Linked DNA regions of Notamacropus eugenii. The protein of the gene in region 3 purifies or fractionates together with the protein of the main gene of each other region. This does not show direct contact. Links are inferred from orthologs where the notes say so. Each region holds a gene or a part of one and is shown on either strand. Other genes may lie near its edges.

Region 1 (6,893 bases), on a different chromosome or scaffold from region 3:
AACTCAATCACATCATGTCCAAGTTTTTATACAGCAGTAATGACCCATAACAATTCAAGAGCTCAACAACAACCATGTCTCAGCTCCCAACCTCAAGTACTAGTAGTCTAGTAGTAACTAGACTATGATACTTCAAAGAATAACTGCAGGACCAGGTACACCTGTTTAAGCCCCTACCTTTTATTGCCAGTTCAATAGGGTACTATAGCTTATCTCACACCTTTCAAAAATGAGAAAGCTAAAGAAAGCAGAAGCAATGTACCAATTATCTTGTCCCCACTCCAGCTGAGGGCTAGACTGCTTTTCTGACTTCATCCTCAAACTGGAGTTTGAGTGTCAAGTATTTTAAAAAACAGGTAGAAATTTGACAACGGAAAATAGGAAAGGGAGAACATTCCAGTCGTTGAGAAAAGCATGAGGAAATGCACCATACATTCATGTTTTAGTTTGGCTGGAGCTGGAGAACAATGAAAAGGAAGGCTTTCCAGATTAAAAAGTCTGAAACTGACTCAGAACACATAAGGGAGAAAAATGAAGATTTTTTTTTTTAAAAACTGAGCTATGCAACTAGATAAAGTCATACAGAGATATAAATGATAGACTAGATCTGGACAAACAAATGGAAATGAAGAGCATGATGATACAGAGGCGGCACTGTGAGGAGATGGACAACCCCTGCCCTCAAGGAGCCTACCTTCTATTTGGGATACAGCTCACAAACACAAAAAAAGATAATCTGAGGAAAGAACAAAGCACTTACTACTTAGGGAGTTCAGGAATGGTTTCCCATAGAAAACTTTAAAGAAGCTAAAGATTCTAAATATCAAGGAAGAAGACTGCATTTCCAGCACAGAAATTTCCAGTACGAACCTCTGCAAAGGCAGGAACAGGAAACCTTGGTAGATGTACCAAGTTAGGTGAATAACAAGTAGATCAATTTGGTTGAAATATAAAGCACATGATATAAAACACACCTAAAAAGGTGGTCTGGAGTCATCTTGTTTTGTGTATTTTATCCTAGAGGTAATAGGGACTGAAGATTCTTGAGCAAGTGAATGACAGACCAGTACTTTGCAAAGATTAATCAGGCAGCTACTAAAGAATGGACTGCAGAGAGTCAAGACTCGTGGAGGGGACACCAAATAAGATTCTACCCTAAGACTCCACACGGGGAGGCAATGAGAGCCAAAGGAGGCTAGTGGTCATACGTGCAGAGGGAAGGCTAATAAGTATTTTCCAAGATACCGCCTCAAAGACTCACTACCTGTGTGACCATGACAGTAACACTCAACCTCACTTTGAGGGAAAGTTTCTGAGGTGGAATCAACAGAAATCTCAGATTTAAAAAATACAGGAAAAAGAAAAGTCAAAGGTAACAAGTAAAGTCTTCAACATGAAAAACTATATGAATGGTGACATCAATGGCAAAAACAGGAAAGTCAGGAGGAGAAAGAGGTTTTTGGGGGCAGCTGTCAATATAACACAAAAAACTAATCTGACCATAGGTCATTTGGCACCATTCAGTGAACCGGATCCTGTGACAAGCAAAAGATTTCCAGTCAAACTGTGGTCTGACAGAGTAATGGACTGGGAGTCAAAAGGACTGAATTGTCCTAGTCGCAGTTTCATGATGCCCTTTTAGTGACCACACTAGAGCTGTATAATTTCTAAATATTATGAAACTACGGGGTTGAGGGGGCGAGAATTGGACATGACCTATATAACACAGATCACATACTTGTTTAAAGCTCCAAGTCAAATTAGGAACATAAAAACAGCTTACACAGGTATATTAGTTTGATGTTCACAACAACCCTGCAACCCTGAGAGGCAAGGTAAAATATGGACATTATTTCCATTTTATTACCCACTGAACTCCAATCTCTTTTGACTCCACACTTGGGTTTGCTTATAAAACAATGCTGCCTGGCACAGCGAAGACCCACGGGAAAACTCTGGGGGGGAACAGAGGTCTTAAAACAAAAACTCTGCCAAGATGGGGGAGCACTGGGAGAGGGGAAAGACTTTCTTCCATTTTTTCCTTTTTTTCACACGTCCTAAACTGACGGAGTCCATTTCTTCCCCTGTACCTGGAGGATAATCAGCCCTCCCCCGCCTCTGCAGGCGGTAACTGAGATCTAGAAATTAGCACGGGGGCACGCTCCGGACGCTTGGGGGCCGGAGACGGAGCCCCCTCTTTCCTATCGGCCTGGGAGCCGCCTTTGGCCCGGGCGCTTCCCAAGGGCTCCTGGATGGCCCGCTTTGCACTGACCCGTCCGCAGTCACCGCCGGGTACCCCCCCCCCGGGCGGGCTCCTCCCCCTCCCGGGACCTTGGAGAACTTGAACTCGCCCCGCTCTTGGCCTCCCAAGTTTTCCCCCCTCCCAACTTCACAGGCCATGCTCCCAAGCTTCTCTCCCGGAACAACGCGCCGCCCACTCCGGGGGGTTCCCCGAAGCTCCGCGGTCCTCGACCCCGCAGAGACTTCTTCTTCCGCCCGCCCCAGCTCCCGGCGCCTCCCGGGCCGCACGCCGTGTCCCCCGCCAGCTCGGCCCGAGCGCGGCGGCGGCGGCGGCCCTAATGCCTGCGCCCAGACTAGACGAGGAGGGCCGGGGCGGGAAGACGAGGACGGGCTCGGCCGGGCCAGGGGGCAGAGAAGGCCGCGCCTCCCTCCCCGCCTCCCCCCACACCCCCAGCGGCAGCGGCGGCAGCAGCAGCCCAAGCACCAGCAGCAGGCCCGGGCCTCTCTCCGCCGCCCGCCCCTCGCCCGCCCCGCCATCTCCGGGGTCGGGACACTGCCCCCCGGGCCTTCCCCGCACTCACTCGGGGAGGTAGGTGGAGGAGAAGGAGCTCCACTTGTGCAGCGCGTAAGGCAGCAGCCGGCTCTCAGGCGCCGCAGCACCAGCCCCGCCAGCCGCCATCTTGTCAGCTCCCAACCCGCCGCCGCGGCCGCCGCCGACGCTGGCAGCGCCGAGGGGACGGGAGGGCAGGGGCGGGGCCTGCTCTTAAAGGGGCCGCCTCCCCATCCGGCGCGGCGGGCGGGCCCCCGCGGCCAGGTGCGAGTCTGCGCTCGGCATCCGACGCTTTCCGGAGCATCCTTCCCTCGGGTGCGCCTGGAGCCGGGGCGACCCCGTGGAGGTAGAGACACGCCGTCCTCGCCTCTACCTAAGGCCGCCCGGAACCGAGACTCTTGTGTTTCCTTAGGCTGATACCTGGGGAAAAGAGACCTTGGGGACGGGGAGAGGACGGCGGCAGGGAGAGGGCACAGGGGCGAAGGACTGAGGAAAGGGAAGAGAGGCAGAATGAGGGCCTGCTGCCCACGGGGTGCTCGCCCTCCCTTCCCCCTCCTCACGTGTCTGCCCGTGTGCCTAGAACTGAACAGCACAGCCGGTAGGGCGCCGGGACCTGGGGAGCGGAGTGGGCCGGGGCCGGGGGGCCGTGGATCCCGTTTCCGCAGCTTCGCGCAGGCGCGAGGTGGGCATGGGGGGAACGCGGGTTGAACTGAAGCGGTCCGTAACTTCCCCGGAGCCCCGACGCCCCCGGCCCCTTGGCGTTGCCTCGGACCGGAGATGGCGCTCTGGCCCCGGACTTACCCCCCCCGGCCGCCGGGCCCCTCTTCCGTCTCCCCCCTGCGCCGCCGAAGGATCCTCCCCGATCCTGGCCGATCCAGGTAGCCCTGGGCTCGCGGGAAGGCCGGCGTCCGAGTCCGGCTTTACTCCAGGGAGGGCCCGGCCAGCCAGCCCGGGTCAGGAAAACCTAGGAGGCTGGAGATTGAGAGCCCGGAACGGCCTCCGCGCTGCCAGCCTTGGCAAGAGAGACAGAAGTGGGCTCCAGACAAGGCCTCCAAAAGCTGAACTTTTCAGAGAGGATCGTTAGAATCACGTCATTGCGGAGCTGGAAGGGGCCCCAGCACCCTATGCTGGATGGAGAGAAAGGCCCTGGACTCAAGTCACCTCGCTTCCTCTTACTGTATGTGTGACCTTGGACGAGTCACTTAACTTGTGCATATCCGTTTTCTAATCTGCACACGAAAAGGATAGACTAGATGATCTCTAAAGTGCCTTCCAGCTATGTTCCAAAAGATCAGAAACCTCTTAGTTTATAGACGGTGAAATGCTATGGAAGGGATGATTTCTTAGAGTAGAAAGGATTTCAGCCTAGTGGGGTCTAAGCAACTTACCTAAAGTCCTACAGCTGCCCTGTAGCAGGGGCAGTATGTAGAATATAGGCTTCCTGATACTCCAGGATTGTTTTTATTACCCCACGTTTGATTGCTCCTATAACCGTCTTCTACTCCCCACATTTCTGAAGATCTTATCCCCATCTCCTCATTTACTGGAGCAAAAAACTGAAAGCATCAGAAATCTAGCCCCCACTAAAATGATCCCATGCTTCAAGAAATGGTTGGAAGAATCACAAATATATTTAATATGTAAATGTATACATGAGTCATTTGTGTATTGTGACATAATATGCAATCTACCCCAGGAAATTTTTCAGTTAAAATGTCATTAATTACACATTGAAACAGTGAGATTATATCTAAACTGGAATGATGAATGAGGCCATCATCTTCCATCTCAGCCTAGAGATACTGAAAGAACAGTTGAAGGAGAACAGTAGAGAATGATACAGAAAAGCTGAGTACCACATGGAGGGTAAATAGTGGGTAATTTGAGGTGACTCTTCAATGAGATGACTCAGTAATTTATTTTCCCTATGTAACTTTAACCTACAAAAAGTCAAAATATGTGCTTAATATATAGTAACTACAGTTGAATTAGCAAGGTAACAAACACTAGAGGAAGAAAATGCCTCATGAAATTACATGAGAGAATTAAAACACATAAAGCTGCTATTAGCCAGCTCCAGTGCAATCAACCTCACAAGCTTGTGTTTCAGGGTCCATCTGTGCAGGCCTTCCCAGTCCCTGAAAAGTTGGGGCTCGACCTGAAACACCCTCTCCCCACACACATATACATACCCCCATGACAAGATGCAGAAGGAACTAATTCTGCGAAGCCACTTGAAAGAATGTAAGTCCATGGGGGAAGGAAGATTTTGAACTATTTTCATAAATGAGTTAAGAAAGTTTACTTTGGGCAGGGAACAAATCTCCCATATTCCCCAAACAGAAGACGATGAGGACATTTTGTGCCATAGCAATAGAAGGGCAAAGGGACAAGAATGAGGAGGGAAGCCAGAGACAAGTTACTAAAAATACATTTTTTTTTAAAAACTGAAAGAGAAAGAAAAAGGCTGGATACAGGCCTAGATACGAAGTAGATCAACAGCAAAAGAAAAAAAATGCATACAAACTACCAAAAAAAAAAAACTGAACTATCATGCTATGTTATTATGCTAGGGAATGAATGATAAATCCCCCAATGGAAAAAAATATTCTGCAAATTCCCAGAGATCTTGAAACAACAGAAATGAATTCCAAAGTACTTGATAAGAGTAATTAAACTTTAAAAAGAAAAGATATTAGTTGAGAAGCATTTGTTAAGTGCCTGCTATGTACTATGTGCTCAGCACTGAGGATGCAAAGAAATGTGAAAGACAGTCCCTAAACTTAAGGAGTTCACAATTTAGTTGCAAACAACTAAACACAAAAAAAGATGGATAAATGATAAATTGGAGGTAATCCCCAGAGGGAAGGCACTAGTATTACAGGGGAAAAGCTTTTGTAGAAGGTAAGATTTTAGCCGGGACTTGAAGGAAGCTAGAAAACAGCAATAAGAAGGGAGAGCCTCCTAGGCAGGAAGGATATGAAGAATTCTGTTTAAGAAAGAGCAAGGTCAGTGTCACTAGAAAGCCAAGTACATAATGGGGAGTAAGGTATAAGAAGACTGCAATGGTAGGAGGGGTCCAGGTTTTTTTAGTAGAGAAATTCAGTGGGAAATTAGAGAACAGAATTTCAGGGAAAAAATGGCAAAATGGACAGCTTTGAACATATTATAAAATTCAGCACCCATGTTGGCAAGGGGTAAGGAGATTTGGAGATAGAATTATCTGGTCTGAAAAGTGGTGAGTGATCATGATAAGGGCCAGATATAGGATTAAGCTTCATGACTTGGGTTCCAAAGTGAATCTTGTCACTATGTGCTTCCTTCTTTATTAATTGTCATCTCCAAGAGTAGGACACAGCAGAAGACCCCATCAAAAGCAAAACAAAAATAAGGTAAATTAATACATACGTATATAGAATAATGGGTGGTAAGGAGGATAGGGTAAATAAGATATATAAAGGCAATTCCAGAAATAGGAGAGAAGAAAATCAAATTTGGGACTCTAGAAAGTCCATTTCTAATGAAGGAAATAGAATAAAGAAATAACAGGTAAAGATCTAGGTATAGCCAATGAATGGGAGAATAGAATGCATAATAAATACTGAAATGAGGAAAACAGAAAAAAAACAAGTGAAAATTTCTTGGAACAACAAAAGAATGCTACTTAATCTAAGAAGTTGGAAGGGGAAAGGAAAATTATGGAATACATATTTATCTGAGTGAGAGGTGGAAGAATATTTTTAACAATTTTGAAAGAAAAATTAACATCTTAAGTAAACTGAGGTAATTTAGGATATCAGGTAAATGAGCCAGGATGACAAGCCTGTGGGAATAGAATAGAATCAAAGCAGTATCACCAAAACTAATCAAAGGTACAAAGAGCTGACTTAAAAAAGGAAGGAACAAAAATCAATACAAAAGAAATAAATGAAAAACACAAACCTAACAATCATTACCTTAAATACAAATGGATTAAACAATTCAATAAAAAAAAAAAGAGGATAACAATAGATAAGAAAACAAAATCCACCAATTTTTGACATACAAAAAAATCTAAAAAATGAAAATTATATAATCAAAGTGAGGCTCAAACAGCATTTAC
Region 2 (7,205 bases), about 29 Mb from region 3:
GAAGGATTTCCAATGCATTTACTTTCATGTTCTTTCACAACCTAAACACCTGCTCTGTTTCCAGCCATTAAAAAAAGATAGTTGCTACAGATGGGATTGGGAGTAGGGAGGAAATAGAAGAAAAAAATTTTCTCCCCAGTGACTACTTTGATAGTTCCTGTGTATTTAGTGTTGGAGTACCCTGAATTAGTGTGCCTCACTCCAGCTTACTTTAATTAGACCCCTTTAAAGCTAGTCAGATGGGTATTCAAATCTCTCCACTTAAAAACACCTCTAGGTGCAGCAAGGCCAACACTGGTATTCATTGTTTCCCTAGAGGCAAGTCAAAGATGCACAGTCATGGTTAGAAGGTACCTCAGAAATCATCCTCAACAACATCTCTAACAACTGGTCATCCCATTGCTACTTGTGGGAAGCTCACCACCTCCTCATCAGCTCATTCCACATTGAAACAGGTCTAATTATTGGGGAATTTTAAGGTTACACTGAACCAAAAATGTGTCCCTCTACCACTTCCACCCATTTCTCCAAGGTCCACCCTATGGCACCAAAGAAAACAAATCTAGTCCCTCCTTCTCCAAATATGACATCTCTCTAAGTACTTAAAGACAGTTTCTTTTTGTCCTTCCTCAGTCTGTGTCTTCTCTCACTGCCTTTACGAATGCTACCAAAATCCGTAATTTTCTCCCTCCCCTTGAAATCTGCAAGTGATTATAACCTATAAGAAACAGACTCAAGTGTGGTAAGAGCTATAATGGCAGGGGGGGAGAGGACGGAAGAGTGACCTAGCATATTTCCATATGTTGGGAAAGCCCAACACATGAATGTGAGACAATTTTGTAAACTTCCCATCCAAAAGAATGAGCAGCAGACAATCCCCTTGTGGTTCCATACCTCTTACATCACGCCTAGCAAAGACCTGTCTTTCAGCTGGGTTTACCAGATGAGACAATAGTGCTAAATGGAAAACCCACAATCAACTAGGCCAAGGGCAACATGTAAGGGCCTTCTGCTCTTTCAGCATACATTACTAGCTTACCACCTGTTGGCTCACAAACATCAACTGGGTGACCTCCAACCCTGACTGACAAGGAAAACTCATCTTTGGGGACACTAGGTAGACTGGTGTGAGAGGTAACTTACCCATCTCTACCTTTACTGACAATCTTCACTTCAAAGTAATAAATGCCACAGGCAGCAGGTATGGGGTGAGTTGCACGAACTGATGCAGCGTCTTTGTGATTTTTGCCATGACCTGGAAGAAAGGGATAAGGAAGCTTCAGGAAAAGGAAATGCTAACAGCAGCCTCTCTCTTTCCTGTTTGGTGATTACTGCAGTGGAGCCCAAGCAAGGACTCATCACAAGTAATTCTCACACAGTACAAGGAGGAATTTGATGATAATTCAATCAGTTAACAGTCTGGCCCTGCATGTAACTATGTCAATGACCTACAGAACATGCTATGGCTGTGGGTTTTACTTTGTCTCACCTCTTCCAGGACTTAGAGAGACAGAAGCAGTAGCGCTGACTGAGAAACTGGCAGCAATACAGAGGAAAACTAGGTAACGATGTTCCCTAATAAAAGGCTGTGTGTCTGTGTGACTTCTAAAGATAAGGAGGTGATGTCTGTCAGTCCTCAGGAAATTGTGGCAGGCACCTTTCGGGCATCTGGGAAGTGGGGGGGGAGAGAACCAATACCCTGTTCTATTTACTTAAATGTTTCCCCTTAAATAAGAAATGCGGGGCTTCCTGAGGAGGTTTAGCAGGAAAAAGTGCCAACAGGCCTCTGGCCTACGGTTGGGGAGGTCACTACCAAGAGGTTAACATCAGGAAAACTACAAAATGGCCAATGGCTCGGCAGTCTGAGCTACAAGAAGCTAAGAAGCCTGTGTAGCAGGGAGCCTGGAGGGCCCAGTGCATTATGTAAGGTGCCGGCAGGAGACAGGGGACACCTGCTGGGACTCCTGGGGATTCAGTAAGCCATCAGGACAACCTTCTCCAGGGAAATGGGGGGGGATGGGGGCCCCCCCAAACTGAATCAGGCTGAATTCGGAGAAGACAGACAAAAGGAAGGTGGAAAGAGCATGGAGTGTGGAGCTCAAAAGCAAAGGTTTCAGTTTTAGCTCAAGGCACTTGGACCCCTTGGGCCTCAGTTTCCCTCCCCCCCAAAAAAGGAAAGGGTTAAAACTAGGTCTCCAACCCTAACCCCAAACATCCAAGACCTAGGTTTACTTATGACTAGGTAAGGATGAGAACAAAGCTATGGGGCAGGACACGGTGTCTTACACACTCACACACGTTAAGAGCCTCTCGGATCAGGGAAAGAAAGGCCCGAAAGGGAAAGAATGAAGGACAGAAATTTGGGGGGGGCCGAGAGGGGCTGTAGGCCCTCCCCTCTTCTCTGTCCCCTTCTCCCCTCCCCAAATATCTGCCGCGGGCTCAGACCGCAGGGAGGAGACTCCGCTGCGAGGTCCCGGATTGGGTGCTCGGAAGGCCCGGGTTCGAATCCCAGCTCTGGCACCGGTGAGCTGTGTGACCTTGGGACAGTCTCTTTCCCTCTCTGAGCCTCAGTTTCCTCACCTGTGAAATGGGGGGATGGAGGAGGGGGCGGTGCGCTAGGCGGTCTCTAAGCTCTCTCCAGATCCCCCGAGCCCTGTCCAAGGGCGGCCCGGCCCCGCGGACCCCCGCGGACCCCCGCGGACCCCCCGTCCCCCACGGCCCCGACCCCGGCACCTTTGTAGTGGACGCGGAGGTTGCTCTGGGAGAGGCCGATGTAGTTGTACTTGTCCTTGGGGCTCCAGGAGCGGGGCAGCGGCGTCTCGTGCTGGTTGACAGCCGGGTAGAGGCGCTGCAGGCGCCGGGTCAGTTCCTGCTCCCCGGGAGAGGGGAGCCCGCCAGCGCCGCTGCCGCCCCCGCCGCAAGGCTCGCCAGCTGGGGGGCTCCCCGCTCCCGGATCCGCCGCCGCTGCCGCCATCTTGGAGGGAGCCGCTATTGTGTCACAGAGAGGCGGGGGGAGACAAGCACCAGATCCGCCGCTCCCAGCCAATAAGCTGCGCGCCCGCGGAGGCCGTAGGGAAACTGAGTTTGACTTCCGTGTTCGCATGCGTGTCTTCCCGTCGGAATGACTACAAGTCCCACAGTGCCAGCGGTCTCAGGGGCGGGGCGAATTCGCTTGAGAGGGTGGACGCGCAAGGCTTACCGGGGGTGGTAGTCCGTATCTCTTCAGTTGGAACCCTGTCAAGGGGAGACTTTCGGACGGTAAAAACTACAATTCCCTAAAGGAAAGCGGCTTTGGCCTCTCAGCCTTCGACACCGCCCCCCACCCCGAAGCCACCGTAATTCTGTTGCCTTGGAGCGTGTTAACTTGTTTATCTCTAAGTATTACTTCTCACCTGTGTGAATATCCTAGGGAAGTCTCCCCCAAGCGGACGTGAATCTCTCCTTCCCAGACCTCCCATACAAGGGGCCAGAGCTGCTCCTCGTCGGGGGCAGGGACCCTGACCTAGCTACGGGCCGCGCGACTCAGGCAGTATCGCAGCCACCCCTGTCCGCGGGGGTCTTCGCGAGGCTGCGTTTCCATAGCGACGGACTGTAAACAAATCCCGGCGGAGGCTCCTGGAGTAAGGCGCTGAGGCTGCGGGCGAACGGTCGCTGCCCTAGGAAAGGGATATGGCTCTCCCTCGGCCTAAAGGCGATACTACCTTGTCCCAAGCGACAGTGAGGTATGGCTGGGGCAGAAGCTGGATCCCCGGGCTTCTCGCTTTCTCCTCAGCTGCAGGGGGGGGGGGGGGGGGGGCATAGCTGGTACCTCCGGGGGCGAGAGACTGGCACTCGCTGTGAGGGTGCCCACGTGTATTAGGAGAATAACTGCGCCTAGTAATAGCTAGCATTTCCATGGAGCTTTAAGATTTCCAAAGTGCTTTGCTAGGATCATTCCCATTTTATAAATGAGTGAACGGAAGCGTCCCGATTCAGTAAAATGAGTCTGTAAACCCAGAAAAATGATAAAATCCTGCTTTTGACTTTTAAAGTCTGAGTACACCTGACCTCCCTCTCCTCCTCCATCCTCCAACTCTGCTGGCCGTTGACACTGGACTCCCTGCTCTTTTGTCCCCCTGCCCTTGGCATTTTCCCTGGATATGTCCCATGCCCGGAGTTCTATCCCTCCTCATCTCCACTTCCTGGCTTCCTTCAAGTTTCAGAGTCCCCACCTTCTGCAAGCTTTTCAGGGCTTCCTAATTTCTAGTGCCTTGCCTTAGAGACTGTTTCCAACATATCTAGTATATATTTTCTTTATACGAAGTAGTTGGCACTGTTGTCTCCCACATTAGACTGTGAGCTCCTTAATAATAGCTAGCATTTGTCTACCTCCAGAAAGAGAACTGTGAACTCTTAGGTGCAGATTGAAGCATTTTATTTTATTTATTTTTCATTTACTTTTGTTGCATTTTTTTTTTTTGCAACATGGCTAACATGGAAATTAGTTTTGAATGACTCCACATGTATAATTGATATATTGCTTGCCTTTTCAATGGATGGGGAAAAGGGACAGGAGGGAGAGAGAATTTGAAACGCAAAATTTTTTAAAATGAACGCTAAAAAATAAAGCAGAGAGGAACACCAAATATAATAGTAATAACTGGCATTTCTGTAACACCTACTATGTGCCAGTTACTACTACAATCCCAGTTTTACAGTTGAGGAAACTTGAGGTTAAGTAACTTGTGCAAGGTCACACCGTATGTGAGGACACATTTGAACTCAGGTCTTCATGTCTTGAGGCCAGTCTCTCTATCCACAGGGCCACCTAGCTGCCTCCTTGAAAGCAGGGAGTGGTGTTGCCTTTCCTTGTATTCCGTGCTAAGCATAGTGCCTGACACAGAGTGGGCACTTAAAAATGCTTGTTGACTTGACTTAAGACTGAGCTTGGTTAACGAACTTGGCCAGAATTACAGACAGAAAGTGATGGAGGCCAAGATTTGAACTTCTGTTTCCTTAACTCTTAAGTACACACCCTATCCATTACTGACACCTAGAGGCCACTCCATTAATTTGGAGTCCTGGAATAACTCTCATTTCCATGGTGTCTTAAGGTTTACAAAAGGCTTCCTCTCAACAGCCCTGTGAAGTATTTATAATCCTTACCAGTATTATCCTTCCTCGTATTTCTAGATAACAAAACTGGGACTTTAGAAGCTGAAATGATTTGCCCTGGGGGACAGAGGGGCTGGTAAAGTATCAGAGGCAGATTTGGATCCAAGATTACCAGATTCCAGCTCTAATTCTTTCCACTCTACTATCCTGTGTATCTAATAAGATTTAGAGCTGGAAGATACCTTGGAGATTTAGTCCAACCCCTCATTTTACAGAGGATAAAACAGACCCAGAGAGGGAAGCTATTTGCTCCAAATTACACAAGTGAGAGAACCAAGGATAGAACTGGGATCTGGAGAAAAGAAGCATGTGCTCCAGATCATACAGGTTAAATGCAAAGTACAGTCCTATTAGATAGAGAGATTCACCAATGATTTTTTAAAAAACCTCATGTTTCTGTAGCACTTAGGATGACCAGGTTTAAAATTGAAGGGGACCTTAGGTATCAATACAGTGAAAACTCTCCATTTTACAAAGGATTAAATTAAAGCCTAGAATGGTCAAGAGACTTGCCCACAATTACACAGCTGGCAAGTAACAGAGCAAGGTTTTCTGACTCTAACTCTCCTGTCCTTTCCACTACTGCTCACATTCTATAACACTTCCTCCTCAGTCCCAACCTCGTCTCCATCAGCACACATCTGTGTGTCCTTGGGCAGATCATTTCCTTTCTCTAGGTTTCAGCTTCCTCATCTGTAAAATTAGGAGCATGGACTAAATGATCTGAAGGGCCTTTCCAGTTCTAAAATCCAATGATACCTTTCTTGAAGTTCATGCCAATAAAGATGCAAAGACAATTAGGATGTCCACTGAACGGATACTTACATTCATTGAATTAAGGCAGCACTGGTAAGGTAAAACACAGGCAAGGGATCTGTGGTCAGAAAGCCTACATTCAGATCCTAGCCCAGGTACCTGTATGATCTCCTCAAGTCATTGCTCCTCATCTGCAAAATAAAATATGCAATTGTCTTTCATATCAGCTGTTGGCAAAGGGGGTGGTGTATTTTTGTAGCTGTTGCCTGAAGAGGTATTGGAAGGTGAAAGTTGTTGATGATGAAGATGAGGACCTGAATCAGGGCTTCTTCACAAACGATTTTTCCCATAGGCCCCATAAATTATGAAATGCTTTGGGTATAGTAAATTCCTAATAAATGGCTGTTGAGTGAATCAATACTCACTTCACTCCCCTGTGCCAAAACTTAAGAAAACCTGATATCAAATCTGGCCTCAGATATTTACTAGCTGTGTGACCTTGGGCAAGTACTTAACCTCTGTTTGCCTCAGTTTTCCTTAACTGTAAAATGGGGATACTCATAGCGGTTACATCCCAGGGTTATCATGAAGATGAAATGAAATAATACTGGTAAAGTGCCTGGCACATAGTAGATGATATAGAAATGCTCTTTTATTAAGGAGCTCACCATCTAATTGGGAAGACAATATGCCAATCACTTTGTACAAAGAAGATCAATACTAGATCAATTGAAAAGAATCCAGTATAATCTGGGTTCAGATATTGACTCTAATACTACTAGTTTGAACTTGGGCAAGTCGAAAAATGAGAGCCTAGAACGAATTGATTTCTAAGGCCTCATCTTAAAGCGTATCCTCCACCTCTCATGATCCTTGGACTTTCTTATCAAAAAAATCTGGCCACAGGTATTTGTACTGGCACCAACTGAATTCCCCTTTGTTTTGCTTGGAACCTTGAATCCCTCTGGAAGGGTGTGAAATGTTGAGGAGCAGTATCATTACCCATTCTGACGGTACCCCTCTTTCAATGAGATTCTGAGCACTTTAAGAGGTTACCAGATGTTGATAGGAAGGGAACAGCTGTACCTTCTGCCCTAAGGCAAAACAAGTCCAGAATGGGACCACACTCTCTTTAAACCATTTTGAAATGGACCCTAAGAGAAACTCTTTCCATGGTGGGGAGGGGAGCGGTAAGAAATGAGGGATGGAGAAACGAAACAGAATTGCTTCAACACAACCTGGCTCTAATGAAGACAACCCTAAGACACTGACCCACAGTCATCCGTGGGGCTGGC
Region 3 (7,649 bases):
CTTAGCCCTGTCTGCCTGTTTCCTCACCTGTAAAATGAGCTGGAGAAGAAAATGGCAAAACATGCCAGCATCTTTGCCAAGAAAACTCCAAATGGGGTCATGAAAAGTCTGACAGAATGAAATAACTAAAAACATAACTATAAAACAAATGTTTAGCACTCCTGGAAAGCAGTAATGAAGACTATGAGGGCTGGAGAGGCCAGGTGATATAGGATTAGATGCTACCAGTCAAAGAAGAACCCTCAGGTCCCCCAAGTCTGCTGACTTTCAGCAGCACTGAATTACACTAGATCAATAAGCCTTGCAAAGGAGTTTGAAATTTAGAAAACTGCCCCATCCCTATCAAGGAAAACTAGGGAGTAAAACAAGGACAGTCCACACTTTGGCCCAAACAAACTTTGGTTGACAAGTCAAAAAGCCCTCCCCAATTTGGAGCTTTCGTTTACATGTGGCCCCATTACCCACCCTGACCAAGCCCCACTTTCCAAGGAGTTAACGTTAACAAAGCAGGTACTCTGGGCTTATCTACCAGCACAACTGCAAGGCAATAGTGCTTGGGAAAGAATACTCTGCTTTCTGGGAAACAAATTGATCAGGCAGAAAATACCCCAGGCTACCCCACCTCACTTCAGCACATTTCCTTAATTCAGCCTGTTCCTGAGTTAGACTATCATGGTTCTGCTGCCATTCACAATCAGTGGCTTCCACAACAGCCCAAAAAGCTACAGTTAAGGTTACTCTTACTAGCAAACAAGAATAAAAATCTCCAATGTTCTGCTTTTTGTAAAGAAAAATCAACTGCAAAGACTATGCATTATTCAAGACAACCTGCACCAACCCCTTTAAACCCCCTCCTCCACACACAACTTGCCCAAATCTCCCTTTCACCCAGGCCTAAGTCTCTTCCTTAAAAGAGGATGGAATGGGCCTTTCTTATTCATCCAGTTAATTTCCAGGCAGCATCTTTCCACACAAACCATCCCTCCTTCCCTCCTGCTTACTCTCTTTACTAACAACTTCAGAGCTCTGTCATTGACTTTAAAGAATACATGTCATTATCCAAGAGGTTCCCCGAAGCCAGCCCTTTCCCACTGATTTCCAGCCTCTCAAGTCGACCTGATGGCAGGTTAATAATAACACTTGCATGGAGAGGGGGAAAGTCAGTGGGAAGGTGGAAGGGAAGGGACTCCAGAGCCCAAAGGAGTCCAGCCAAGGGATACTCAAGCCCAGAAAGGTTTGAGGCAACAGGCTATTGATGCCCTGTGGAAAAGCTAGAGGAGGGCTGGGCTGTGCAGAAAGGAAAGCTCGATCCCTTTCCTTGGAGCTCTGCGGAGTCTTCTGGAGAAACCAACTTTAAGAATGGATTAGTGCTGCTAGTACCGGGGTTGCAGAGACCCTGGTCTATGGGACCTTAGGAAAGAAGGGGGCAAGGCCCTGGTATGCATCCAAAGTGGAGGAGAAGCTCCCAGTAGGACACTCCTCACAACTGCAACGGATTAAAAGACCCCGTGGGCATGAGACACTAAGAGGGAAAAGAAGGAGGGTGTGATTAGAATGGATGCGAAAATCCTATTAGCTGAGGGGCAAGGTCCCAGTGTGCTCTGGGAGATGGAATTCCACCTTGAGTCCTCTGAAAAAGGAGGGAAGAGGAAGACAACTGGAAAGGAGCAGAAGTTCCCAGTAAGCTGCGGCCAAAAAGCCCAGTCAGACACTAGAGGAATTCAGTGCTGAGCTCTCTCTAGAAGGGGAGAAAAGAGGATGCCACTAGAATGGACTCGAAGTGCCCAGGAACCAGATCCAAGAGACAAAAACAAAACGGAACCAATTCAGAACACGGCCCAGGAGAGGAGGGAAAAGTGGAGATCACGGAACTAGACGAGATCAGGGCTGGCAAGAAGTAAGTAAGCTGCGGAGACCGTGCACTGGGCATTCCCCAGAAACAGACCGAAAGCCCGGGCTCGGTCCGTCTGACCCAGGTCTAGGACACATGGCAGAGGATGCGCCCGGAGGAAATCAAGGTAACAAACTTAGAGCAGGAAGCCAACTCAGAGGTCACGAGATCCAGATGGGGAAACGGAGGCCTACGAGGGTCTGGGCTGGGATCCGAAGGACCCCCGGCTTCGCTCTCAGAGTCAGGGGGTCCGAACCAGGGGAGTTCGGAAGGGAGGCGGCGGACCCACCGGGAGCTGAGCGAACGAAGAGAATGGGCCGGGGGCCCTCGGAATCAATCCGGAGACTTGGCTGGGGGTGGGGTCCCGCGCTGACCACCACTAGGGTCAGAGGGCCAAGGTCCGGGGCCCCAGGAGCCTGGAGGAGGGAGAAGGGAGGAAAGGGGGTGGAGGAGCGGCCCCCGCGCCCGCAGCCCCTCCCCCTCCTCGGGGGGCCCGCCCCGCCCCCGCCGGACGCCCCGCGGCGCTCGTACCCTGGCTCTGCAGGATCTCGTGCTTGAGGCCGCCCGTGTAGTCGATGAGCTCCTCCAGGCCGCGCTCGCACAGCTGCCCGTAGCCCGAGAACTTGTGCAGCACCTTCTCCAGCTCCCGCTCCACCGTCACGCACTGATCCATGCCGGGCCGTCCCGAGGCCGCGTCCCCTTCCAGTCCCCTCCCCGTCCCCTCGGCCCGGGGCCCCCGCTCCGGGTCCTCGGCGCCTCCCGCGCGGCGGCAGCGGCTGAAGCGGCGGCGGGGGCGGCTCAGCGGCGGCGGCAGCGCCTTGAGCTGCCCGCGTCCCCCGGCTCCATGACGCCCCGGCCCCGCTCGCCCCTTGTCCCTCGCCCGCTGCTGCTGCCGCTGGGGCAGCCGCCGATTGTTTTTGTTTTCACAGGAACCGACCGATGACCTGGTTCTCTTCCCGGGCCGCACCAAGCGCCGCCGGCCCGAGGGGGAGGGCGGGGAAGGAGCGCCGGGCCGCGGGCCGTACCAAGCGGGACGGCCGAGAAAAAGAGGGGGGGGTCGGAGAGCCGAGCGAGCGCCGCGGCCCGGGTCTCTACCAGCGCCTAGCGCGGGGCCGGCCGCGCGCAGCCGCGGTTAAAGTGTGGGCCGTACCACGGGAGGCCAGCGAGGGGGAAGAGCGGGGAGAAACCACCGGACACCCCCGCGCCAGCCAGGCCGGAGGACGTGCGTGAAGGGAAAAGGGGGAGGCTCCGAAGCAGCCCTAATCCAGAGGGAAACGGCTTCTAACCCCTCCCCCGGGGACGGCCTAAAAGCGAACCTATGGCCGGGCAACTAGAGAGGAGGCACTACGTCATGAGGGAATCTCCTCCAATCCTGGACCGTAACATCAAACCTCCCCCAATCCGAGTCGAGCAGGCCAAACCAACCGACTCGCTGTCGGAGGGGGGAACCGCTCCCGGGAAGGCAAAACAAACATCGACCCTTGCCTAAGGAAGCCCGCGCGCCAGTACCCCGTTCCTTTTCTATCCCCGACCTCCCCAAGGCCAGGCTGGGAGCGGCCGAGATGACCAGGCCTATTGGTGGCAGAGGCTCTGCCGACTGATAACGACCCTGTCAACTGTCCTGGGATGGGGAGGGACAACCGGAGACCAGCTCCCCTGGAGGAGCAAGCCAATGGCTTTTATTAGTCATTGTGATTAATTAGTGACCTTAGAACTCGGTTGGCTCGGAGGGAGGAGAGAGGACGGGAAGGGAGGGAGTTCAAGGAGGCAAGAAGAGCGCAGGCGCAGGAGAGGGGCGGGGCCGAGCGGGCGCGTGGCTCCTGCACGTGCGGCCCAGGGAGGGCGGGGCTACTGTGGTTTCCATGTGTATGTGTGTTTGTGTTTATCACTGGAGGGAAAGGGAGAGGGGGAGGGGAGGAGCCCTTAGACCGAACTCAGCTGCTGCTGTTTCTGCTGCTGGAACAAGAAGAAAGGGATCCTGGCTTCTAGCGGTGCTAAGCTGACCCACCCAACCCTCCTGCATTCACGGGACATGCCACGTTTTCCTTCCGAACCTTTGCATAAGCTGTGCCCTTTGCCTGGCCCATTCAGTGCTCTTATAAACTTCACTTTTCAAACTCTTAAGTTTCCAAAAGAAAAAAAAGTAGCCCTTCCCATCGTTCTACTAACCAGAGCACGGGACCTGGAGTCAGGGAGACCTGAGTTCAAATCCATTCTCACTAGGTGTGTGACCCTGGGCTAGTCACTTAACCTCTGCCTCAGTTTCCTCATCTGTAAAATGGAAATAATGCCTCCCAGGGTTGTTTTGAGGATCAAAGGAGATCATACATATAAATTGCTATTATGACTAGCTGTCCTAGGCTTTCTTGCAGGAGGGAGCCCTTTTCACCTCCTTTGGGATCCTGCTCCCACAATTATCCCCCTCTCCTGCATCTTTTGGTCTGATGTCTTGGGGACTAGGGAAGAGCAGCCTTCATCCAACCCCACTTCACTCAGATTCTATCTTTGTTGTCTCCTTTGGCTGTCCACTCTCAATCAGTCTGTACCTGCTTCCTCTGTTTCCTCACTAGGCATTCCTGGCTTAGGTCAGGAAGTCTGGCTTCTCCCCCAGTCCCCATCCCATCCTCTGCCCCAGGACTCAAAGGGCCCCAGGGCACTCTCTGTCAGGTCCAGTGTCACTCAGCCCCGTAGGTCCTCAGTCTCTTTGACCTTGTCTGCAGCATTTAGCTCCATGGATCGCCTCCCCTTTCATTCCCATAGGCTCTTGGAGCGTTATTACCCCACCTTTTTTCTTCTTTTCCACATCTATTGCTGACTCCATTTTTCCTCCCATTTCTTACCTGAGTTGCTAAAGTTCAGACCTTCCATCTCTGCTCTTTTCTCTAACAACTCATCCATTCTGACAGTTTTAGCCATCATCTAGGTAGAAAATTACAGAATTTATGTCTCTGGCCCAAACCTGTTTCTGCCAAGTGCCCAACTAAACATCTCCTTTGGAATAATCCATTTTTAACTCAGTATTTTAAAAACTAATGTTTCAAATTGGTTTTACATGCAATTGGGAGAAAATAAAATACTAAATATTTTTTAAAAGAATAATCCTTTCTTAACCTTGATCTTAACCTATCCAAAACAACATATCACTTTACTCAAAACCCACTCTCCTTAGCTTTCCTGTTTCTGTCAGTAGCAGACAGGAGCTCAGTCTTTTTTTGATAGCTGTTTCCCTGACCCCCACAAGTCACCAAATCCTATGGCTTCTCATGTTTCGTTTTCTCTTCTAGTCAGTTCTTTTGGTTTGCACTGTGATCACCCCAGTTAGGACTTTATCACCTATAATATGTCTTAAAGAAATTGTTTTACATGATGCTCAGAAAAGTGTAAAGACCTCAAGAAGAGCAGACCCCCTGCTTCCAATACAGCTCAAAGTGCTGTCATCCAGGGAATTGGCTCTTAGGGAGATGTGGCCTGGCATCTGCTTCTGCAATTTTTGCAGGCCTCCTAAGGGACCACAGCTACAAAAGACATAGAAAACGAAGTCTTTGACATTCCCCTGTGGTTAAACATCAGAAATGGATAAGGTTTTATCAAGGAAAATAACATGAAAGAAGAGGAATCACCATCTGCTTGGTGCACCCAAAGGACTTTTCCAACTAACTTGCACCTAAAACCTCCCATAAATATTATCTCCTCTATTACCTTTTCAGGAATGTGCACATTGGTAATGAGGTTGAGGCACACATCGCTAGAGCTGGCTCGATGTTTGAGAGGCTCTCAAGGTAAGTGTGGGAGAGAAGAGGTATTAGACTGACTACTAAACTGAAGGTCTACAGAGCCTTCTGCTGACCTCATTGTTGTATGCCTACAAAACATGGACAGTCTACCAGCGCCATGCCAGGAAACTGAATCGCTCCCATTTGAACTGTCTTAGGAAGATTCTGAGGATCCCCTGACAGGATAAGGTAGTGGACCTCAGTGTCTACTAAACTGCCAAGCATTGAAACTCTGCTTTAGAGACTCCAATCGGCTGGCTGCTTTGTTCAAATGTAAAACATATGCTTGCCAAAAAGACAATATTGTGGAGAACTCACACAGGGCAAGCATTCACATGGTAGTCAGAAGAAGCAATACAAGGACACTCTCAAGGTCTCTGAAGAACTCTGGTATTGATTTGTGACATGGGACACATTGACACAGGACTGCTCAGCATGGCATGCCCAAATCAGAGAAGATGCTGTACTCTATGAGCAAAGCAGAATTGAAACAGCTCAAAGGAAATGCAGAATATGCAAATTTAGAGTATTCAACCCAATTGTTCACATGGACTATTTGTGCCCTCATGGTGGTAGAACATTCTGAGTCATCTTGGTCTGATCAGCCATAATTAGATACACTGAAACTTGACTTTAGCATAGTAATATCATTTTGATCCTCTTCTAGATCAGACAACAACCATTCTCCTCCATTAAAATGTGTCACCAGAAACTTCAGTGGGTGGAAAACTAAAGAAATTAGAATTTACTTTACCAAGGTAGGGAAATACTGTTCTAAAGGAAGGGTCTTTTTGAAAGGTTAAGTAATTGGTCTTCATGAACCCTCTCCTTCACTTTACATTTAATCAGTTTTGAATGCAATCAGTCTTGGAATAAAAGAAATGGGAAATCAAGGTGAGAGGAGAAAATCCAAATTTTACCTAGTTTACCCAGAACGCCTTAGGGACAGCTACTAGGGAAAATCTTGACCTAAAGCTAGAACTGGCCCTGGGATAAGAAAGACCTGGAATCAAAACCTGCCTCAGACCCCTTCCATGTAGAACTAGACTAGAATAATGACGGGATTCTTCATTCCACTCAGTTCCTCATCTGTGAAATCAGAGGGTTAGTCTAGATGGCTTCTCAAGCCTCTTCTGGCTCTCCATCTGTGATCCTACAGGGGTTTTTGTTAGTTGTTTTTCAGTTGTATCCGACACTTCATGACCACATTTGGGGTTTTCTTGGCAAAGATACTGGAGTGGTTTGCCATTTCCTTCTCCAGTGAAAACCCTATGACTTTTATGCAAAAGCAAGATCCTGGGAGAATGAGTCTGGCCATTCTTAAAGTTAGGAAATCTTGACCTCAATATGTAAAAGCCTGCAAACCTTTCATTGAAAAGCACAGGTTAATTTTAGTATTTCATCAAAAGGCAGACTGTCTTTTAAGGGTATTGTTAGGTCTGGGGGGGGGGGAAATCACTTCAGTACCATCCATGGGACTTGGGAGGTGGGGTAGGAAAGGCTTCTTTTGGGGTTTTGGGAAGTCAGTGAAAAGAAAAAAGAGTTGAAGCCCCAGCTCTGTCACTGAGCAGTTGGTGGCACTGGGCAAGTTCCTTCACTTCTCTGAGCCCCAATTTCCTCATGTTTGGGTGGGGATCACAGGATCATAATCTGAAGCCTAAAAGGAACCTCAAGAGTTCATCCAGTCTCCTCCTTTCACAGAGCAGAGGAGTGGATTTTCCCAAGCTCATGAGGATGGCGTGAACTAGAATTGGCACTTGTACGCTCATGTAGGACTTCTAGCTCTGCTTTTTAACTTTGTATTATTTCATGCAGACTTTTCTACATTTCAGAATATTTTCCACATTTGCTTTTATTTAGGTTGATACAATCTCCATCTGCAATCTCTAATCATAGTCCACTTAGCCATTTGGCATTTTAGGTTTCAAGTTTTTAAATATCACACAGTATAGTATAAGCTACAAATACCTTTGTACAAAGTATCT
Region 4 (7,364 bases), on a different chromosome or scaffold from region 3:
AAACTAATTTCCCTAAAAACACAGATCTAAGCACTTTACTACCTTGCTCAAAAGTCTTTAGTGACTCCTAATTGCCTACAGGATAAAATGTAAATTCTTGAGTCTGTCAATTAAGCTTTTCCACAATCTGGCTCCTATCTACAACTTTTCAGCTTTATTTCAGACTGTTCTTCATGAACATTTTGGTCTAGCGTAAATGGACTACTGGTATTGTAGTTAGAAGTTAGCTCATCAAATTTATTTTACAGATAACAAAACTAGGGCCCACAGAGGGGAAGTGATGTGCTGTTAGGTGGCAGACTCAGGGCCTCAGAGTACAAATCCAGCACTCTTCCCTATACCAGACTGCTGATGCCCAGACTTGACTGAAGCCAGAAAGCCATCTCCTATGTCTGTAATGCATTTCTTCCTCCTCTTCACCTCTCATAATCACTGTCTTTTTTCAAATTTAAGTGTGGGTACCAACTCCTCTATGAAGTCACCTCTGACTCTGCTAGCCACTATTTAATTGATAAACAATTTAAGTGGCAAGATGTGTGCTAGGCATCAGTGATACAAATATAAAAATAAGACAGTCTCTGCTCTCAAATTTACCAAAAGTCTTAGTTGAGTGAATTTTAATCTTTAGTAGTTTTAAAGTATACTAAGACTTGGGAGACACCTTGTATAAAATAAATACAGTGACTGATGGTGGTGGATAGGAGGGGACTACCAACTAGGGAGTCACCAGGAAAGGCCTCTTGAAGGAGGTAACCCTTGAGCTGAGCCTTGAAGGAAGCCAGAAATTCCAAGAGGAAGAAGTAAGGGAGGAGAACATTCCAAGCATGGGGGGGAGGGGGACAGGCTGGGCAAAGATGAAATACTATGGTCAGAGAAATGCAAGCAGATCAATTTGGCCAGAGTGGAGTGAACGAGGGGGAAAACGCCAGTAAAACCCTATCAGCCAAGGATAAGTAGAAAACAGATTTTGGAGGGCTTCAATGTCAAATAAAAGAGGCTGTACTTCTATTAGAGCTCACTATCTTGTTTTACCTTGTAGTGCCAATGACCACTCGTCTATGGCAGAAACTTGCCTCAGTGTCTAGCACATAGTAGGATCTGTTTTTACCAAAAAGATCACCTTTAACCATGACCTTCCAACATTAGATTGTGTACTCTTTGGAGGAAAGACACAGGGCAAACACAAAGCATTAGACTGCCTTTGTTTTGAGTTCTTTCAGATCAACTGAATAGGACTGAATATGAAACTATTGGATGGAGGAGGTCAAGCAAGCCCACTCAGAAGAAGCTGCAGGGCATTCTGAAGGAGAGACAGGAAGCATCACAGACCAGTTGGGTCAGCCAACATCTCTCTTTGGAACTGTAGTGCTTTCAATCCAGTGTCAAATGGTTCAACACAGAAACTGATAGGATTTTGTCAGTGGAAATGGCATTGAAGATCAATCATCACCATCTGCTTTGCTGCTGTACCCTAAGGACCAGGGGACCTTTCAATCTGACTTGTAGCTGAAACCTTCCATATGGAGTTTCCCCAGGAGAATGTGAGCTCCTTGGAAGGAGGGAATGGCTTACTTTTCTATTTATATCCACAGTTTTTTTATACATGATAAGTGCTTAATAAATGCTTCATTCATTCATCGACTCATTCAGGAAGATCTGCCACATGATGAATTTTCCACAGAGTAAATTTCCTACCAAGTTCCCTTATATGATAAAAACTCTAAATGAGTCAACGTAAATTATTTTCTAGGTAGTGGAGACAGATCAGAAATCTTTCCCATAGCAACTATATTAGGGTAAAGAGTACTGGCCACTAACTGGCCAGGCCAACTCCCTTTCTCTCCCTGCCCTGCCCCCTCTGCAGTATAGAGAGGGAAAGGGGAGACATCAATCATATATTTCAAGTTAGAAAAGACAGTCTACAGATAAGGAATTGCTGCCAAGAGAATAGGTGGCAAAGTAGCTGTCAGAATTCATCTACAGGAACTCATAAAGATCTCTGCTTTCCTCTATACCAGGAAAAATCTGAAGAAAAATCAGGAGAAAATGTATGGGACAATCCACTAGGAAGGGCAGGGGGAAGTGGAGTACGACCAATCGACCAACCAGTCAGAAGATGGGTTACATCTATCCTTTGCCTAGACATCCAATCATCAGGCACCTCTCAAACACAACCCCAGCACCCCCTTCAACCATTATTGCCCAACACTACCCCACTTTGCCTTCAGCTCCTAAACCTCTCCCCTTCTACTCCATCACTAAAACCAATCAATCCCAGCAGGTATGTCAATGCATCTCCCACAATCCCCCGAACCCCAGCAAACACATACACTGCCCCCCAGATCACCTCATGATGGTTTGGTGCCTCTTGGATAGTCCTATCCTCTAAAGGAGAAATATTAAAATTCATCTGTTTGGTTAGCCACATCAATCAAATTGACTGAATATTTAATTCACACCCTTAACATTCACATCAAAGTTTTGAAAAGTGAAATGATCACTATTACTAAATCACTCTAGCTTGTTTTTATTGAGAAAGCAGCAGTATGTATGTTTAATGTGATTGGGAAGTAACCAGAAAATCTGCTGTACAATACAGGTGTTCACTGGTTATATATATACTATATATGATAATATAGATAATATATAATAGCCAGTGATAACCAAGTACCAAACTTACAGATGTTATACATTTTTCTTTTAGCAAAAAAAGTGATAGTTTCTGCTATGAAAGTGGTTGTCAGAAATAGTACTGTACTTAGCAGTTATTTAAGAAGAAATTAACTTGAATCTGTTCTTTCAATATAAAGGTGATGTTTTAATGAGTTTTAATGTTTTAAGAATGAGAATGGTTTTTGAAAGAACTAATGTAAGAGAGCACTGGAAAATGGAAGGTTGGAAATATTTCCATCATGTGATTTTGTTGCTAAAAATGCTATGTTGTCATCTATAAACTCTCATATCTTCAAAGTTAAAAAAAAAAAAACCTAAACAGCTTTGGAAACAATTTTCTAACCTGTTTAAAAATCTTCTAAATGAAAAGTTTCAGCAGGTTTTGAACCCATTTATTAAAAATATTAAAACGAGACACCTGCAGATTTTAACTTGCAGTAGAAATTTTCTAGCCAACTTTCAACCAAAAAATACCTCAGTATATCATCGATAGGGCCGAAAAGCGAGTATGAAGATTGAGTGAGTAAATGCACTGTTTCCACTTTGTTCTTTGTCAATTTTTTCCCAAGGTAAATTTACCATTAAAACCCAAATTAACTGAACCTGGGACCATGTACAGTGATACATGTAATTTATTATATATAATAGGATTATACCTCTATCTTCATATATGTACATATCGCTATACACATCTATAAAGGGTGAATCTACTAGACATATCTACACATACACCTACTTACGTGGATCTACCTCAATCTACACATGCCTAGTTATAGGCACAGACAGATGTAGGTCTGAATGGACAGACAGATACAAATATAAGCAGATCTATATCCATATATACACACACACATATACCTCCATACATTAGGGCTACACGCTTCCACATGTTTTCCCTGGAATAGGTGACCCCTGGGCTGCAGGGCCCGTCCGTCCATCCCGCCATGGCGGGTGCCCCTCTCCGGCCCCCCCCGAGCTACCTGCGGCCCAGGCCCGGCCGCAGCGGGGCCTCCCGCCTGCGCTCACCTGCGGGGGGGGCGTAAGCCCGGCGGAGGAGCCAGAGCCCCGGGGCCGGCGCGGCCTGGTCCCCCGGCTCTACGGGGGCGGCAGGGACCAAGCAAGGACGGCGTGGGAAGCTCGCGCCTCCGGCCCCGAGCCGAAAGCAGCTTCGCCACATAGCACCTTTGGGCGGGGACAGGGAGCAATCGAGGAGGGGACCCCAGGGCGTGAAGGAGAAAGACCGCAACCTCTCACGGTTGGGGCAGTTGCACCGGACCCGCCTGCAGAGTTCTCCCACCACTAGCTGAGTTCAACTTCCTTTGGCCACCGCCATATGACCCTGAGCCACTACCGGCCGGTCCCCTAACCTTCGAGCCCTCCCAGCCAATCAGCGTCACGAACTCGTTCCGTCTCTAGGCAAAGACTACATATCCCAGCGGGCCTTCGACCTCTGGACACGTGTGGCTCACGCCAACCAATAAGAAGAAGCGGCGGCTAAAATTGCTCCCGCCCCCTCACCGGGTCAGAGCCAATTGGCCTGAATTAGCTTATGTGTGTATGAGTGTAAGTATGTGTGTGGGTGGGTGGGTATGTGTCTGTGTGCGCGTGCGCACATGAGTGTGTAGGTAGGGGCGGGGTGGGGGGGGGCATCCAGGGAGGGGGAGCCCCCGTTCTCTAGTCCTCCCGCACCCGTCGGCGGCTAGAGTAGCTTGTCGGCCAATAGCGGGGTGGGCGTCCCTCTCCTCCCTCCCTCCCCTCCCTTTCTCATCCCGCGCGCCTGCGCGCGCCCGGCCCCCTCGGTCAGCCCGCCCTCCTCCGGCTCCCGCGCGGCGGCCGCGGCGGCTTCTCCCCCCTCCCCGGCTTTCCCTTCCCCCCTCCTCTCCCTTCCCCTCCCCCCTCCCCCACCCCACCGCCCTGGCTCCGGGGGACCCCGAGATGCCGGTCCGCACCGAGTGCCCCCCGCCGGCCGGAGCCTCGGCCGCGTCCGCCGCGTCCCTCATCCCGCCGCCCCCCATCAACACCCAGCAGCCCGGAGTGGCCACCAGCCTCCTCTACAGCGGCTCCAAGTTCCGCGGCCACCAGAAGAGCAAGGGGAACTCGTACGACGTGGAGGTGGTGCTGCAGGTACCGGCCCGGCGGGCGGCGGGCGGGCGGCCTCCTCGGCCCGGCCCGGCCCGGGCCTCCCCGCGGCCGGCCTCCCTTCCTGGTCCGCACCCGTGCTCAGGCCCCCATGCCCGGCCCCTGGAACTCCCCCCCATTGTTGACACCCCCAGCAATGGGTGGGGGGCTCCCCCCCAAGCAGGGTCTTAGTTCTCTGGCCCAATTCCCCCTTTTCGTAGACGTCTGTCCTTCCGCACCCCAGGCCGGCCTCCCTGAGTCACCCCCCGACCGCTGCGGGGGCCTTCCCTTCCCCATCTCCACCTCGGGGCCTCTGCTCCCCTCTTGTCCCCGGACTTCCTACTCGGTCCTTCCTCACCCCCACCAGACGTCGTGCCCCCCGATATCTTATATCTGTCCTTCCCTCCTCCCGGGGCCTCCCTGAGTCACCCACTGACCGCTCTCCTTCTGTCCACATCAGTCTGTCCTTTTCTGTCCGTAGGACCCCCCCGCCCCCCGCCCCGACACTCCTGATATTGCCCCACCCCACCCTCATCTCCACCTTTCTCTGCTGCACAGAACATCCTCTTCTCCTGCCTTACACCCATTCATTAGAAAGGCTTTGATCCCTGGAGAACCTGCTCATTTCCTCCTCATCTGGGGACCTGCTCCCTGGTTGAAATAACCCATGAAACCTGGCAACTTTCTTCCGTACCTCGCCTCTATTTCCTCTTCATAACCTGACCAACAACCACTCCCACTTCTCCTGAGGAAGAGGTCTGGTTAGTCCCCCCAGTGAGCTTCCCCTCCCTTCAGACAGCATTCCTTCTCTCTGTGAACCTCTATTAAAGAGGTCCTCCTTGCCTCTTACATCACCTCCTCTCCCTGAGCTGGCTTTGGAAATGTTTCCTGGCACATCCGTGCCACTTAGGAGGAATTTGCCCAGGGTGGTGATGTGAAATTTTGTCCTGGATGTGTGAACGGGATGGACAATCTTGATTGCTCCTTACTCATGCCTTTTTCTTTGGTCTAAGAGGGTCTAGCATCTTGCCTCAGATCAAATAGGCCTTTAGTCAAAAGACACCTTAAAAACAAGTTCATGAATCCCAGATTAGGGACCCCTGTTCTTGAGCGCAAAACAAACCTTTTTTCCTTGTCTTGTGGAAATCATTATTCTCCTTTCCTGGAATGGGAAGATGTCCAGTGCACTTTGCCTTAACCATTTTCTTCTTAGTTAGCCTAGTCTATATACCAGAGGACCTCTCTTCTTTTCTTCCCTTAGGGAAGGTAGATGATTTTCTTTCAGGCCTGAAAACTTAGCTGCTATCCTTTGTCATATTGTTTATATTAAGAGAAAATGTGGTGATTTATCTGTGCTCTTCCTGAATTTTAGAAACAATATATAATAGGCTTTCTCTTCATTTCCCAAATTTTGTGTCCTTTCTAGAGCGTAGTTGCGAATGTCTTTTACAACCCATCGCAGAAATCGTCTTAGTGAAAGAGAGCTCTAGAGATTAGCCATAAATTGTAAAGATGAAAATGTTTTTGTCTTCTTTGTGACCCTGATTTCTAATTTGGGACCTTAATCTCAATAATTCACTTTTTCCACATTTGAGGACAACCTAAGTTTGGGGCAGGTGAGGATGTATATCATGGAAAAGGATAAGAATGAGTCTGCTGAATTTGATATTTTAGATCAGGATGAGGACTGGAACTTTAAGACAGCTAAAAGTAGAAGCCCATGGATGCTGGCTATAAGACATCTTAGCTCAAACGGAACTTTCTAATGTGGATTGTAGTCATGTCAGGTAAAGGCTGTGCTTGTTCTGCAGGTGGATGGTGAGCTCGTTCATCAAGCTAGCATTCTTGTTGCTCCATCAGCTAGGACCTGGCTACTTCTGTCCCTGTGGCCTGTTTGCTTGTACCGTATTCATTCTTGAGGTTCTGCCTTGAGAAGAATTCTATCATATCATGCATTTTACCGGGTCTACATTTTTTTTTGCTGCAGTGTACTTCTTGCTATCCAAGAAGCCAAGTGCAAAGGAAATCTTAGGACACTGTGGAAGGAATATAAAGAGAGCACCTTTGTGTCCAGATGTGCTGAGTGGCTCCTTTTTGCTAAACATGTTCTTTTATCTTTCTCATCTACACTCTAGTTACAATATACACTGTTAATCTTCTCCTTGTTAATTCCAAGCTTCATAATGGTCAGTTTAAACAGAATAGATGAAGTATTGGGTTGAATGTAGGACATTCTGGTTCTTTGATGTTTTGTTATTCTTAAAATATATTAGCCAGGTCACAGATGCAAAAACAAAAAACAAAACAACCACAGCCCATCTCATCAATATCCATGTCACCCTGGTATCTTTCCTTCACTTGTTAAACCCCCATATATGTTTTTTCATTGAGTGCTGCATATATAGACAAGGTTGTAGATTAGAACTTTATATGTCATTTATAATTTAGGCAGTGCTGTGTAGTGGAAAGAGTATTGTTGGTCTTAGAATTAGAAAGACCTAACTCAACTCTGCCACTAACCAGCTGTGACCTTGAGAAAGGCAAGACTTAATCTCTTTCTTCATCCACAAAGT

The links.
Region 1: the proteins of RMND5A (region 3) and MKLN1 purify together in Homo sapiens (affinity purification with mass spectrometry; 4 studies listed by BioGRID and IntAct, counting the BioPlex papers as one, with this or other methods). This does not show direct contact. The link is inferred for Notamacropus eugenii from reciprocal best matches to the Homo sapiens genes RMND5A and MKLN1.
Region 2: the proteins of RMND5A (region 3) and RANBP10 purify together in Homo sapiens (affinity purification with mass spectrometry; 4 studies listed by BioGRID and IntAct, counting the BioPlex papers as one, with this or other methods). This does not show direct contact. The link is inferred for Notamacropus eugenii from reciprocal best matches to the Homo sapiens genes RMND5A and RANBP10.
Region 4: the proteins of RMND5A (region 3) and GID4 purify together in Homo sapiens (affinity purification with mass spectrometry; 4 studies listed by BioGRID and IntAct, counting the BioPlex papers as one, with this or other methods). This does not show direct contact. The link is inferred for Notamacropus eugenii from reciprocal best matches to the Homo sapiens genes RMND5A and GID4.

Annotation. Positions count from the first base shown.
Region 1 is NC_092874.1:119,238,870-119,245,762, forward strand, and holds the start of MKLN1 (muskelin), read right to left. Parts: upstream 3,007-6,893; 5' UTR 2,921-3,006; coding exon 2,823-2,920; intron 1-2,822. UniProt on the Homo sapiens protein: Component of the CTLH E3 ubiquitin-protein ligase complex that selectively accepts ubiquitin from UBE2H and mediates ubiquitination and subsequent proteasomal degradation of the transcription factor HBP1.
Region 2 is NC_092872.1:696,102,030-696,109,234, forward strand, and holds the start of RANBP10 (ran-binding protein 10), read right to left. Parts: upstream 3,005-7,205; 5' UTR 2,975-3,004; coding exon 2,734-2,974; intron 1,256-2,733; coding exon 1,144-1,255; intron 1-1,143. Other genes in the region: TSNAXIP1 (translin-associated factor X-interacting protein 1), read left to right, coding at 3,670-3,722. UniProt on the Homo sapiens protein: May act as an adapter protein to couple membrane receptors to intracellular signaling pathways.
Region 3 is NC_092872.1:725,344,948-725,352,596, forward strand, and holds the start of RMND5A (E3 ubiquitin-protein transferase RMND5A), read right to left. Parts: upstream 3,008-7,649; 5' UTR 2,565-3,007; coding exon 2,423-2,564; intron 1-2,422.
Region 4 is NC_092874.1:335,297,345-335,304,708, forward strand, and holds the start of GID4 (glucose-induced degradation protein 4 homolog), read left to right. Parts: upstream 1-4,358; 5' UTR 4,359-4,608; coding exon 4,609-4,797; intron 4,798-5,332; coding exon of another isoform or gene 5,333-5,378; exon of another isoform or gene 5,379-5,423; intron 5,424-7,364. Other genes in the region: ATPAF2 (ATP synthase mitochondrial F1 complex assembly factor 2), read right to left, coding at 3,700-3,850.